Nothobranchius furzeri: one gene and its partners. The protein of the gene in region 1 purifies or fractionates together with the protein of each later gene. This does not show direct contact. Links are inferred from orthologs where the notes say so. Each region holds a gene or a part of one and is shown in the gene's direction. Other genes may lie near its edges. The genes, in order: map4k5, crkl and grb2b.

Region 1 (3,754 bases):
AAATGCAAATTAATTTGGCTCAAATATGTTAAATGGTAGTTTTCTGGTGGATTTGGAGTCAACTTGATATCACTGTGGAGGCCATGGACAGCTCAGTGTCTTGTGGCAGATTGAGACCAAGATGTAAAACAGAACGCTACTGTAGGTCATTCATTCCCACTGCAGTAATAGTGTATATCTCCACAGTTGAACTGTATTATCCTGGTACACAATAACATTAATGCAATGCAAAATTGAGTACGTATTCAATACTTGTGCAATACCGGATGTACATTAGTATGTCTCTGTCCCTGCATAGTCTTGGAAACCCAAATTTCCTTTTATTTGTTGTTTTTTGTGCAAGTTGAAGGTTGCAATAATAGCATGTCTTTGTGTGTTTAGTTTTAATCTTATTTTTTTCTTCATTTTCTCTAAGTGTATGTGCTGCAGTAATGAGTGAATTCTCCACTGTGGGATCAATAAATTCTATTCTATTCTATTCCAAATCACTCTGTATGCCAGCCACCTCGTTTCATAAACAAAGTAAATAAATTATTGTGAAGACATTTTAGCTAATTCTAGAACTGAAATGTAGTGACACAATCAACTTTTATTATTAGTGTCACTCGTGGAAACATCTTGCACTTTTTGAAGAATTTGTTTGGAAATATGCAAAGGCTGACCTTTACTTTTGTCTCAAACACTGTAACATTATGTTGATTTAATTTGAATGTTAATGTAAAAAATATAACTGGCATGGTTTTTGCAATGTGCAACAAGTGACAAACTAGTGAAAACTTGATTATTTTTGCCAGTGTGTTTTGTTTTCGTGTTGTGAAAGACGGGCTGGCAGATATTTCGAGGTACCCTGAATGCAGCATATTAGAATCCAGCAACTCTGGTCTACAAAGATTAGCAGCACACTGTTGCTTTCACGGGAGTCTTTTTTTTTATTTATTCCGTTAAAATATCTTATTCAGACAGACAGTTTTCCGTTAAAATCCTACGTTTGAGCCTATCGCTTCTCTAAAACTGCCAATAGAGGCTAATGACATAAGAAGGTGAAAACTTAATGTTAGGATATTTTCGGAGATTGAAGTGTACTATGTAGTCGGTGCGGAGTGAAGTTTACTACTGTTTCCTCGATAACAAAGGAGCACTGCTGGCCGTTTCGTTCTTTTGTTCGACGCCATCGCACAGTTAAAGGTTTCGAGACGATAAAAATGCAGCGTTTGTGTGCCTGCTGGTTTTGTGCTTTAAACGGTAAGTACAGTTCTTAGTTTGAACCAAACGTGGAGCTAAATTGTTAGCTAGTATGTTAGCCGACTAACCCTCCGACTGGCTCTGGCTATTTGCTGGAATAGCCACGGTGCTCCTCTGTAAATAAAGGTGCATTTGCTGCCTATAAGGGAAACACTTTGTGATTAAACATTATAATTCACATTGTTACACATTAAACAGTTGGTGAAAAATATCACTTTAAAAGCTTTTACCTGGACTCTTGTTTGTTACTTTTAAAGATAACCATTAATCTAGTATTTTAAATGTTTTCTTTATGCTTTCTCCAAAAATCTGACTCAGGACATGGAGCAACGACAGAGACTTTATGAGTTGTATTAATCGGCTCATATTGAAGACCAGTATTTCGGCAACCACGAGTCAAGCCAACTAAATGTAAAGGACCCATTTGATTCAAGCTGTCATGGATATCTTTCCCCGACCGAGTGGTGAAATTCAGAGGAAGAACCCCCAGCATGACTTTGAGCTCATTCAAAGGGTGGGAAGTGGGACCTATGGAGACGTTTACAAGGTATGATGGAGTCATTGGTTCCCAGAGTCTGCCACAGAAGCTGGAGATAAGATGACTAATCAGCTCATAAACTCGGTTTGTTTTGCAGGTTTATGAGTAGCACAAACACTTTAGCTGCAGATGTTTTTAAATGATATAATTGGATGGAACGGGACTCAGATATTTAAATATTTTAAGTGAGTAAGTAAAACTTTATATACACACACACGCACATTATGCTATATTGACATTTTGATATTTTCTTACACCCCAGTCTTTAACCTTTTAGTTTTCTGCCTTGGATGTGGCACAACCAGCTGGCCTTTGTCACATGACCTCAAGAATCTGTTAGGAACATACATAGACAACATCTTTGGTATGTTCTTGCTGTGTCTAGTTTCTAATTCCATTTTTGGTTCTTTTTTAAAACACAGAAAAGGTTCTTTTACCTTGCTGACGGCAAACGAAACTGTCAGCAAGGTAAAAGAACCTTTTCTGTGTTTTAAAAAAGAACCAAATATGGAATACATTCACAACATTTCTGAGATTTTTACCATTCAGTGCCCTTTAAGTGAGAAGTAATGTCGTCATAATGTACTATAGAGCAGATGGGGAGCCAGTAGATTTGGAATAGGAGCATTAGGACATGAGGAAATTTAGGTGATTTGAAGCTGGCAGGAGCATTTTGCACAGCAGTGTTGCAGAAATACAAACATAAGGAAACAAAAGCACGATGAACAATTTTTCATAACAAAGCAAGATGTTTCTCTTAAATATCTCCTATTCAAAGTAGCACAAACGTGCCTAAACTTGATGTGTTCTATTATTGAGATGCTTTATGTTTTTGTTTCTTCTATTTTTTTCACAGCCTAATTTAACATGTGGGACTATCATGTAGCTGGCATGTAACCTGTGTAACGATTTGTAGGTGTTTTAAAAAAAAATTAAAGTAACAACCTACAAATCGTTACATCTGAATATTTTTATTGTAATTTTCATTTTATACTTGAAGCTCTCAGATGAATTATTTCAATCTGTCAGAATGGCAATAACTTCTCTTGGGAATGCATGGTTAATATATATTTGTTTTCTAATTTCTTTGACCAAAGTTATACATTTTTAACATGAAATGTGTCTAGGGATGGTTATTGTATTTGGTACTGTTTAAGACACAGACCGAATTCTGTGGTACCGACCACAGTGAGATGGTGCCTTGTTTTGGTACCATAGAGTTCAGTCCCTGGTTTCCCAAGATAGATCGCAGCGCACGTGCAAGAGCATTATGTTGTCCATTGCTGCATGCCAGCTGTAAATAGAGAAAGCAGAGTGGTAGAAAGAACACACTCTAAAGTTTGGGTCCACTTCACTAAATGGGATGGATGATGACAACATTGGCAACGTTCAAAGTGAGTTATCATCACCCTAATCTGCTCCAGCAGGTAAATAAACTGTTTAAGATAATGTTGGCTTGATACTTCCATTGCTATTAGCTAATGATGCATTCGCTTCCTCCTCGGATATCTAAAATTCTGACTTTCGAGTAGGAAAAATCAACAGTTTGACAAACGAGGGCAGAAAGGATGATGATGCACAGTAAATTTAATTCACAGCAAAGACGTTTGCTTCAGGACCCACCCACAGTTAGTCCAGAGATGAAAAGGGAGGAATAGGAGTACATGGATGTGGGTTTAAGTTTGTGAAACACCACAATATTAAAATACAGTTAGTTTTAGTTTCATTTGTAGTTTATAATACATGGTCTCCTTGTCATAGTTATTCCAGAAGGCACAGAAGAGGAGTAAGGGTACATGGAGCTGGGTTTTAGTTGTTGTATCAATTAGAAACAGTTGTGGTTAAAGGTTTTCACACTAAAGAATTCTCAATTCAATCCACGTTTATTTTTTATAGCACTTTATACACAACACTGTCGACCAAAGTGCTTCACACACAGATAAAAACATACCGACATCATTGAAAACAGTAAAA
Region 2 (3,739 bases), on another chromosome or scaffold:
GGAGTTAAAAGTTTTATGGCTTTACTGAAATACCAGTCTGTACTTATTTGATTGATGGTAGTTTTACTTTCTATTAGACTCCAAATGTAATCATTTGACACGTTTCTAATTCATAATTTGTAAAAATGTAATTGTGATATTAGCATTAGCATTTCAATTGGTTTTTCCACGTATATCAGCATTGCGCTAACCACTCGCTGCCAAATTGCAGTCTGCGATTAGAAAATCTCCTTTTGTCTCATCGCAATTTAATTGCGCATGCAGTTAATTGTTCAGCCCTAATATACATGCAGCTCTATGCTAAAAGTGTATTTTCAAAGAGGTAATGATGGATTTCTTTGTAAAAGTTGTCCATCTTTCCAACAGAAAGATTTGCCTGGACCAATAACGTAACGTGATTACATAATTCCGTAAGGTTCATGTTCAGCCAATCAACTACTTTGACGTGATCGGCAGTCGACGGACCCCGAGCCGATCTTGCACCCGAGCAGATCTTTTACCGACACCGGCCACACCGCCACAGCTGGAAAAATAGGGGAAACACTGCCATTTTTATGGTTACATGTTATGAAGCCACCAATATTTTTCAACGACTGCATCATTTTATGCATTTTCAAAAATGTTTTGATAGATATTTCCAGAGATTAATGATTAAAAACTACACATTGTCTTACTTGTTTTTTTTTGGGCATTTCTTTTACTGGAACAGTGGTTGAAATTTCAATGATGACTCTATAAAGGGTTAAATCTCTTAAAATCAGATTTTTACATTGTAAATTTCAGAAAAGTCACGTGTTTTAGTTTTAAGACCAATCTTTTATTCTGTGTTCAGTGTTTTTTTGAGTGGCCGCGAGATCCTGACGTGGGGGTGGGGACCGCTTCGTGTGTTCGTCACCAGCCCCCCCTTCCTCCGCCCCTTCCCCTTCTCTGGTAGTCGGTGACGTGCAGCTAGAAAGCGGGACCTGCCCTCCCGTCGCCATTTTTTTGGGTCTAAAGCTCGCACTTTGGTTGGCTTGAGAAAGAGGAGGACTTGCTTGGGAAAAGAAAGGAAAGTACAAAACGTAGACTGTCCGAGTCTGGATACTTCGTGAGCCGTCAGGAATGCACGCGGGAGCTCCGGAGTGCGAGTCCAAGTCCTGGGATGCTCACGCGGCAGACACACCGCTGCATTGAATTTGTTTCTCGGGTGAAGACGTGTTGCGGGGCCGCCATTTTTCTTGCTGTGTTGCCTCAAAACTCTGCTTCGACTCAGAGAAGGAACTCGGAAAGCTCTTTATTTGACGCGTGCCTCGCCGTGAAAGGGATTTGAGTTATTTACTTGTTACCTACCAGCGGCTGCTGTCAACCTTTTGCTGACATGGGGATTCATCGGATGAAAAACTGAGGCCACCTTTTCCGTTCTCATAACTGACACTGTCTGAAAGAGATACACAATTTGTAGAAAAGCTTGGTGTTTTCTCGGAAGGCGGAACGAAAAGAAGGAAGCCTCTTTGATCGTTTGCAGCTTGGGTCTCCGACGGTGTTTGTTTTCTGTCAGTTAATCATTCTCTTCGTTTTGGCTCCTTCAACAATTCTTCAGCTTCGGACTGCTGAGCCAGAGGAAGCGCATTATGCTCCAAAGTTGGATCAAGTCACTCGCTCCCTATTCCTGAAAACTTCAGATTTATTTTGATTTTTCTTATTTATTCAGGTCGACAGAGCCTGCAGCGTTTGTGCAGAAATTACTGGAAACCGTTCCAGGGTGGCGCATGCCCTGCCCTGCATCTTCCAAAACCAACGGTTTGCTGTGAGAGTACGATTGCTTGAACTCCCACTTTCACGTGTTTTTTTTTAAATTTCTATTAACTTATATTTGAACAGAAATGTCAACTGCTCGGTTTGAGTCATCCGACCGCTCGGCCTGGTATTTTGGACCCGTGTCACGACAGGAAGCACAGAACAGGTTACAGGGACAGAGGCATGGCATGTTTCTAGTTCGAGATTCCTCCACCTGCCCAGGCGACTATGTGCTGTCAGTGTCGGAGAACTCCAAGGTTTCTCACTATATAATCAATTCTTTGCCCAGCAAGAGGTTTAAGATAGGCGACCAAGAGTTTGAACACCTCCCAGCTCTCCTGGAGTTCTACAAAATCCACTACCTGGACACGACTACGCTAATAGAACCTGCTCCCAGGTAAAAATCCCTCCTGTGACCACGAACTACTCTCTTAGATATTTTATTATAACCGGTTGTAGCATAGTTTGCACAGTTCGAGTTTTGCACATCTGGTTTACACATTTAAAGCCTGTGGAGACGTGGTTAATAAACAAGATGTGGATACTGGGTTTGGCTTATTTGGATGTATACTAATGCCTTTACTTAATTTTCCCCTTTAAATTGTTGTTTTTTGTAGTTGTCATGTATTTTAAACTATTGTGATTAAACCACGTCTGTGGAAAGCACACATAGATCCCAGTTAAACAATTATACACTAGTTTTTAGGTTTATTTCCTAAGTTTTAAGGGTACATAATGCCCATAATTTAGTTTTTTTGTTTGTTTCAGTTTTGCTTTGACAACAGAGTTGCATCAGTAAAGTGATTGATGTTTCTCTTCCCAAGGTATCAAAGTACCATCAGCAGTCCCATTCAGCCTATGATTGGCTTAGAGGAGAACCTGGAGTATGTGCGGACACTATACGACTTCACTGGGAGCGACGCGGAGGACCTTCCATTCAAAAAGGGTGAGCTCCTCATCATCCTGGAGAAGCCTGAGGAACAGTGGTGGAGTGCCAAAAATAGAGACGGACGTGTCGGTATGATCCCTGTGCCCTACGTTGAGAAATTGGTACGACCACCCCACCCTGGCCAGCCCACACACGGATCTCGCAACTCCAACAGTTACGGGATACCTGAGCCCTCTCACACCCTTGTTAACGCCTACGCCCAACCTCAGACGTCATCCCCGCTGCCTCCCGGCACACCCGGAGCAGTCATCAATCCACTTCCCTCCATGCCGAATGGTCCTGTTGTGGCAAAGGCTATCCAGAAACGAGTGCCATGTGCCTATGACAAAACAGCTCTTGCTCTAGAGGTATTGTAGAACTTTTATTTTTTTATTCGGTCAATGTTAAAGTTTGCACCAGATGTGAAATGTGTTGGACCAGCTTTTCCTTTCCTCTTTTCAGTTTAGTCCTTTACCAATTCTATTCTGGTGGACATTTTAATATATTATGTATTTAACGAACAATTACCATAAAAATTTGCACATGGAAGAACAAAATATTACTATGTATACAAGATAAGCTGTGTTAAAATTGTATTAGAAACATCTCGGAGCAGAATTTCTAAAAATGATTCAGTTTTAGTTACTTGGACAGCTTACCAACACGCACAAAATTGTAAAATCAATAACGTACAAAATGGAATGTGTTAAAGTCACCAGTAAAGTTCCCTTAAACAGAACGGAGTTGGACACCAGTACTGAAACTACACGGCTGCTTCATCAGGGTGTGAAACAGTCCCAGAATAACTCAAATCACTCTTCCAGTTCTTTGGTGTTCGTTATGCTTACATTTTAATGTGCTTTTATGCAAATATTAACCTTTTCCAAGTAGGAGTGGCTTTAACCTGTTTTTGACTACTTTTATGATAAATGATCCACACTTGTAAAGCGCTTTTCTGAGTCAGTGGACTCCAAAGTGCTTTCCACTATAGTGAATCATTCATCCATACACACACATTCACGCCCTGTTGGTGAT
Region 3 (3,754 bases), on another chromosome or scaffold:
GCAGTGACAAGTGCACAGCTCAGTTTATTTTCACCAGCAGTAATTTATCCATGGGTCATTTTAATGATTATTTTTCATTTTCAGTTGTATATCCTTTTTTTGTTTGTTTATGTTTATACTTACATTATTATCTCCCACTTTATTTTTTAAATATTTCTGTAGTTTTAAATGGTGATCTTGATTTAATTAAAACAAATGTGTTCATTGTCTATTTTTATAATTTGGAGATTTATTTTCTTCTCTATCAGATTTTCCCCCTCATGTGATTTTATTTACTCATCATTGATCCAGTTTTCTCTGCCTCAGTTTTCGCCCTACACATGATGAATGAACAACGTAAAAACAATATGAAAAAAAATAAAATGAGGACTAATAAAGACAGAAACATCTCTTTAAATTGCAATTAAATGTTTTGTTCCAATATTTTACATGAATTTTCATTTCACACTTCCTACCACATGGGTGGTTGCTCTTCCACTAGACCTTCAATCCCATAGACATGAATCTGTAGATGCCACATTGGTTTTTTTTACTGAACACATTTTTTATACAACAAACAGGGCAAACGTCCTATCAGTATCTAAACGTGTTGAATCATCTTTTACCACAGAAATATAATAACAAACACTAACGTTTGTAACTAACATAAAAACATGAAAGTGTGAGAGCCTTATTCTAGAAGTTTGAAAAAGACGCCCCATTGGGTGCTGGAGGGCGTAAAAACATTGTTGCCATATTGGAAAGGTTCCTCGCTCTCCAAACCCAACTGAAGTCAATGCAGAGTGGGCAACTATGCCTGGTTTTGTGCGGCCTTCATTTGCAACAACCAGCGACAATTGTAAACAGATCATGTGGTTACTATTGACTTTTCTAGCCTACCTGATGGTATTTTATATAGTAATTTTTTTTGTTTAATTATATTTATGTTTTAATGGTCATGCCTTACCATATGTCTGATTTTGTGGAAACAAAACTTGATAAAATGTGGGGTTTTTTTGTTTGTTTGTTGAGAGTAAGTATCTTCCTCAGTAGAAATTAATGTAGCGGGGCGAATGGAGACCCATCCAATATGGCGGCCCGATGCTACACCAGCGACAGACAGCAGGCAGCTGTGCTCAATCCAGTGCTGTTGTCATGATGGTATCTTCCCACTAGGGGGCAGCCTTTTAAAAGCATTTGATCTCTCCCGTAAAACAAAAATTGAAAGCAGATGTGCTAAATAGTGAACCACTCAGTTGGTTGTAGACTGGCGTATCAAACATTATCGTCTGTTTGCCTAATCCCTTACTGCAGTTTTTTTAATCTGGCAGAGAGGTACTTTATTTTTAGGTTTTGGACAAATTTCACTTTTAACACCATAAGTTTCAGTCTGAACTGATTCGGGTCACCAGATAAAGTCCCTATAATCACATATCAACGTTTTTCCAGTCTGTTTAAAAGTGTCCTGGCTGTGGATGAAACGGTAACAGAGGTGGCTGGGTTGACATGGACTGTTGGGAGGAGCTCGGGTCTGAAGAGCACCAGCTCGGCAGAAGGAAGCGGAAATAAACGCTCTGCTACCAGCTAGCTTCGGGCTCCTAGGACGGGCTGTGAGCGACGCTACACACTGTTGGTTGTCTCTTATGGGGAGCAGGGAGAGCTAAACAACACGGTAACGTTTTGTTCCCTACGGTGGATTCTTCCCAACCGATCGTCGCAAGCGGTAAGACGCCGTTACCGTTTCGCATAAATGTGGTGTACAATAAAGTGTTTTCTCACAGAGTCAAGTTCACGATAGCAGCTGTAAGCTAGCAACAACAGCTTGCGCTAAGAAAAAAGGTGTTTTCTTCCTTTTTCCCGTTTCCCATCATGAGGCTTTCTATCGGGCTTTAATCATCACTAATCTTTTACAACCCCCTCTAAACGTCGCCTTCTGCTGTTCTATCTAATGTAGTCCGTTCGATAAGTTTGATCATCACACTGCATCGCAGTTATTGTTGACCGAACGTTAGCCGGGGTGCTAACGTTCTAGAACAGTGGGCGCAGTCTACTCTCTGGAACCGATTCGATCCCTTTACACGGGAAGCGGTTTTAGACGGGTTCTGGTGGCGGCATCGCCACTAACGCGACGTGCGGGCTTGGGTTTTGTGTTTAAAGTTGGGAAACGACGCGAAGGTGAGACATTTGGGCAACTGGCAGCTGTTTTTCTGTCGCACCTCCGTCTCATCATCCATTTTCATGACCTGATGTTTAATGACACCGCTAATGTGCTTGTGTGATCCTTTGTGTTCAGCAGCCTTTTATCAGTCAGGGCTCGACTTCCTCAGATACAACAACTCGTTATGTGACAAAAAACCTCCTTCATAACACCGTTAGTGTCCCACGTAATGCCGTTATTACTAACTAGTAAACTATCTACCATCACTAACTTATGCCTTGTATTTTTATGCGTCTTGCAGAATTGCAACACGCTTGTTTGTTATGATTATTATTATTAGTCCTCTGCCAGCATCTGGCTAGCTGTCCACGTTTAACGGCCTTATTTGGTAGAGCTGTGTGGGTGTGAGCTCATCAGTTCTGTCCCCATCACCTGTTAGCAAACGAGCTAATTGGATAAGGCGACTATCAGTTCAACCCTGCAGCAAAAGGTTTCGAGCTGTCTGCGTTAACCCACTTATCTCTGGTTGTTGTTCTCAAAGGTTTGTTGGGATTATCAGATTGTGGCCTGACCCTTGGACCAAACCCATATGTTCTCCATTAATATTAACTAACTGCTATGAATAGATGTTCCCCCTAAGTGTTAAAAGCGCAGTCTGATGAAGCAGAAATCATAAACAATTTTCCTGTGAATGTAAATATTTGAAAAACTTGCTGTAGAAGTGGTTAGTGGTGCTGATGGGTTTTTTTTTTCCCCTCATTTCTGTTTTTCGGAGGGCTTTGCATTTAACCAGAGTTGTATTATAATTTCTGTTTTGGCCTCAGAAACCATTACATGTGTGTGCCATCGCCTTTTCCCTTTGCAGACATACAGGGTGGTTCTCAGTGTCAAGGCGCCTTGCTTACGAGGACACTGTCCTTCCTTGGTCAAAGAAAACGGTTAAATGGAACAGACTTGCATCACATGACACGGGAGATAACGTTATATTTTCTACGTATTAGTTTCAATATAAATATCTAACGAGTCTTTTACTTTTTAAATTGTGTATATGTTTATTAAATTAAAAATATAAGTGAGTTACTACCCGCTAGCCACCGAAGCTGCAACTACTAAGCAACTAACCAACCATAGATAACTTCTTTGGATATAAAAAAAAAACATTTTAAATTAGCTGACTTACTTTTAAACTTGAAAATTTGTCCCCGAAGTTGCTGCCGGTGTTGCGCCAAAGTAGTTACCCCCGTCAAAAATTGTTTCCCCATTCACGGGAGCGCGCAAAGTAGGAGGAGGCACTAGCCCAGCTCCGTTGGGAATACTTTGTATAGAAAAACACTTTGATACTATAATACTGTAAAACCAGACGTGACCATGGAAACACGTACAGGGTATCCGCGGGTCCTTAAAAAGTCTTAGAAAGTCTTAAATTAGCTTTTCCTAATTTAAGGCCTTAAAAGTCCTTAAAAATTACAAATAATCCTTAAATCCAGTTTCCAAAGGTCTTAAATGACCAAAGACCCAATAAACAAGATTCTTTTATTTCTATAAAAATTTCGTGAATCTCTAGTTAGTGTTCAGCATTTTTTGTGTACGATGTTGCCGTAAGCGGAACCGTACGCA

Evidence for each region.
Region 2: the proteins of map4k5 (region 1) and crkl purify together in Homo sapiens (affinity purification with western blotting; 3 studies listed by BioGRID and IntAct, with this or other methods). This does not show direct contact. The link is inferred for Nothobranchius furzeri from reciprocal best matches to the Homo sapiens genes MAP4K5 and CRKL.
Region 3: the proteins of map4k5 (region 1) and grb2b purify together in Homo sapiens (affinity purification with mass spectrometry; 7 studies listed by BioGRID and IntAct, counting the BioPlex papers as one, with this or other methods). This does not show direct contact. The link is inferred for Nothobranchius furzeri from reciprocal best matches to the Homo sapiens genes MAP4K5 and GRB2.

The regions. Positions count from the first base shown.
Region 1 is NC_091758.1:19,751,764-19,755,517, reverse strand, and holds the start of map4k5 (mitogen-activated protein kinase kinase kinase kinase 5), read left to right. Parts: upstream 1-907; 5' UTR 908-1,040; exon of another isoform or gene 1,041-1,242; intron 1,243-1,560; 5' UTR 1,561-1,681; coding exon 1,682-1,789; intron 1,790-3,754. UniProt on the Homo sapiens protein: May play a role in the response to environmental stress. Appears to act upstream of the JUN N-terminal pathway.
Region 2 is NC_091746.1:46,875,051-46,878,789, reverse strand, and holds the start of crkl (crk-like protein), read left to right. Parts: upstream 1-912; 5' UTR 913-1,862; coding exon 1,863-2,173; intron 2,174-2,600; coding exon 2,601-3,072; intron 3,073-3,739. UniProt on the Homo sapiens protein: May mediate the transduction of intracellular signals.
Region 3 is NC_091752.1:67,730,740-67,734,493, reverse strand, and holds the start of grb2b (growth factor receptor-bound protein 2b), read left to right. Parts: upstream 1-1,564; 5' UTR 1,565-1,702; intron 1,703-3,754. UniProt on the Homo sapiens protein: Non-enzymatic adapter protein that plays a pivotal role in precisely regulated signaling cascades from cell surface receptors to cellular responses, including signaling transduction and gene expression.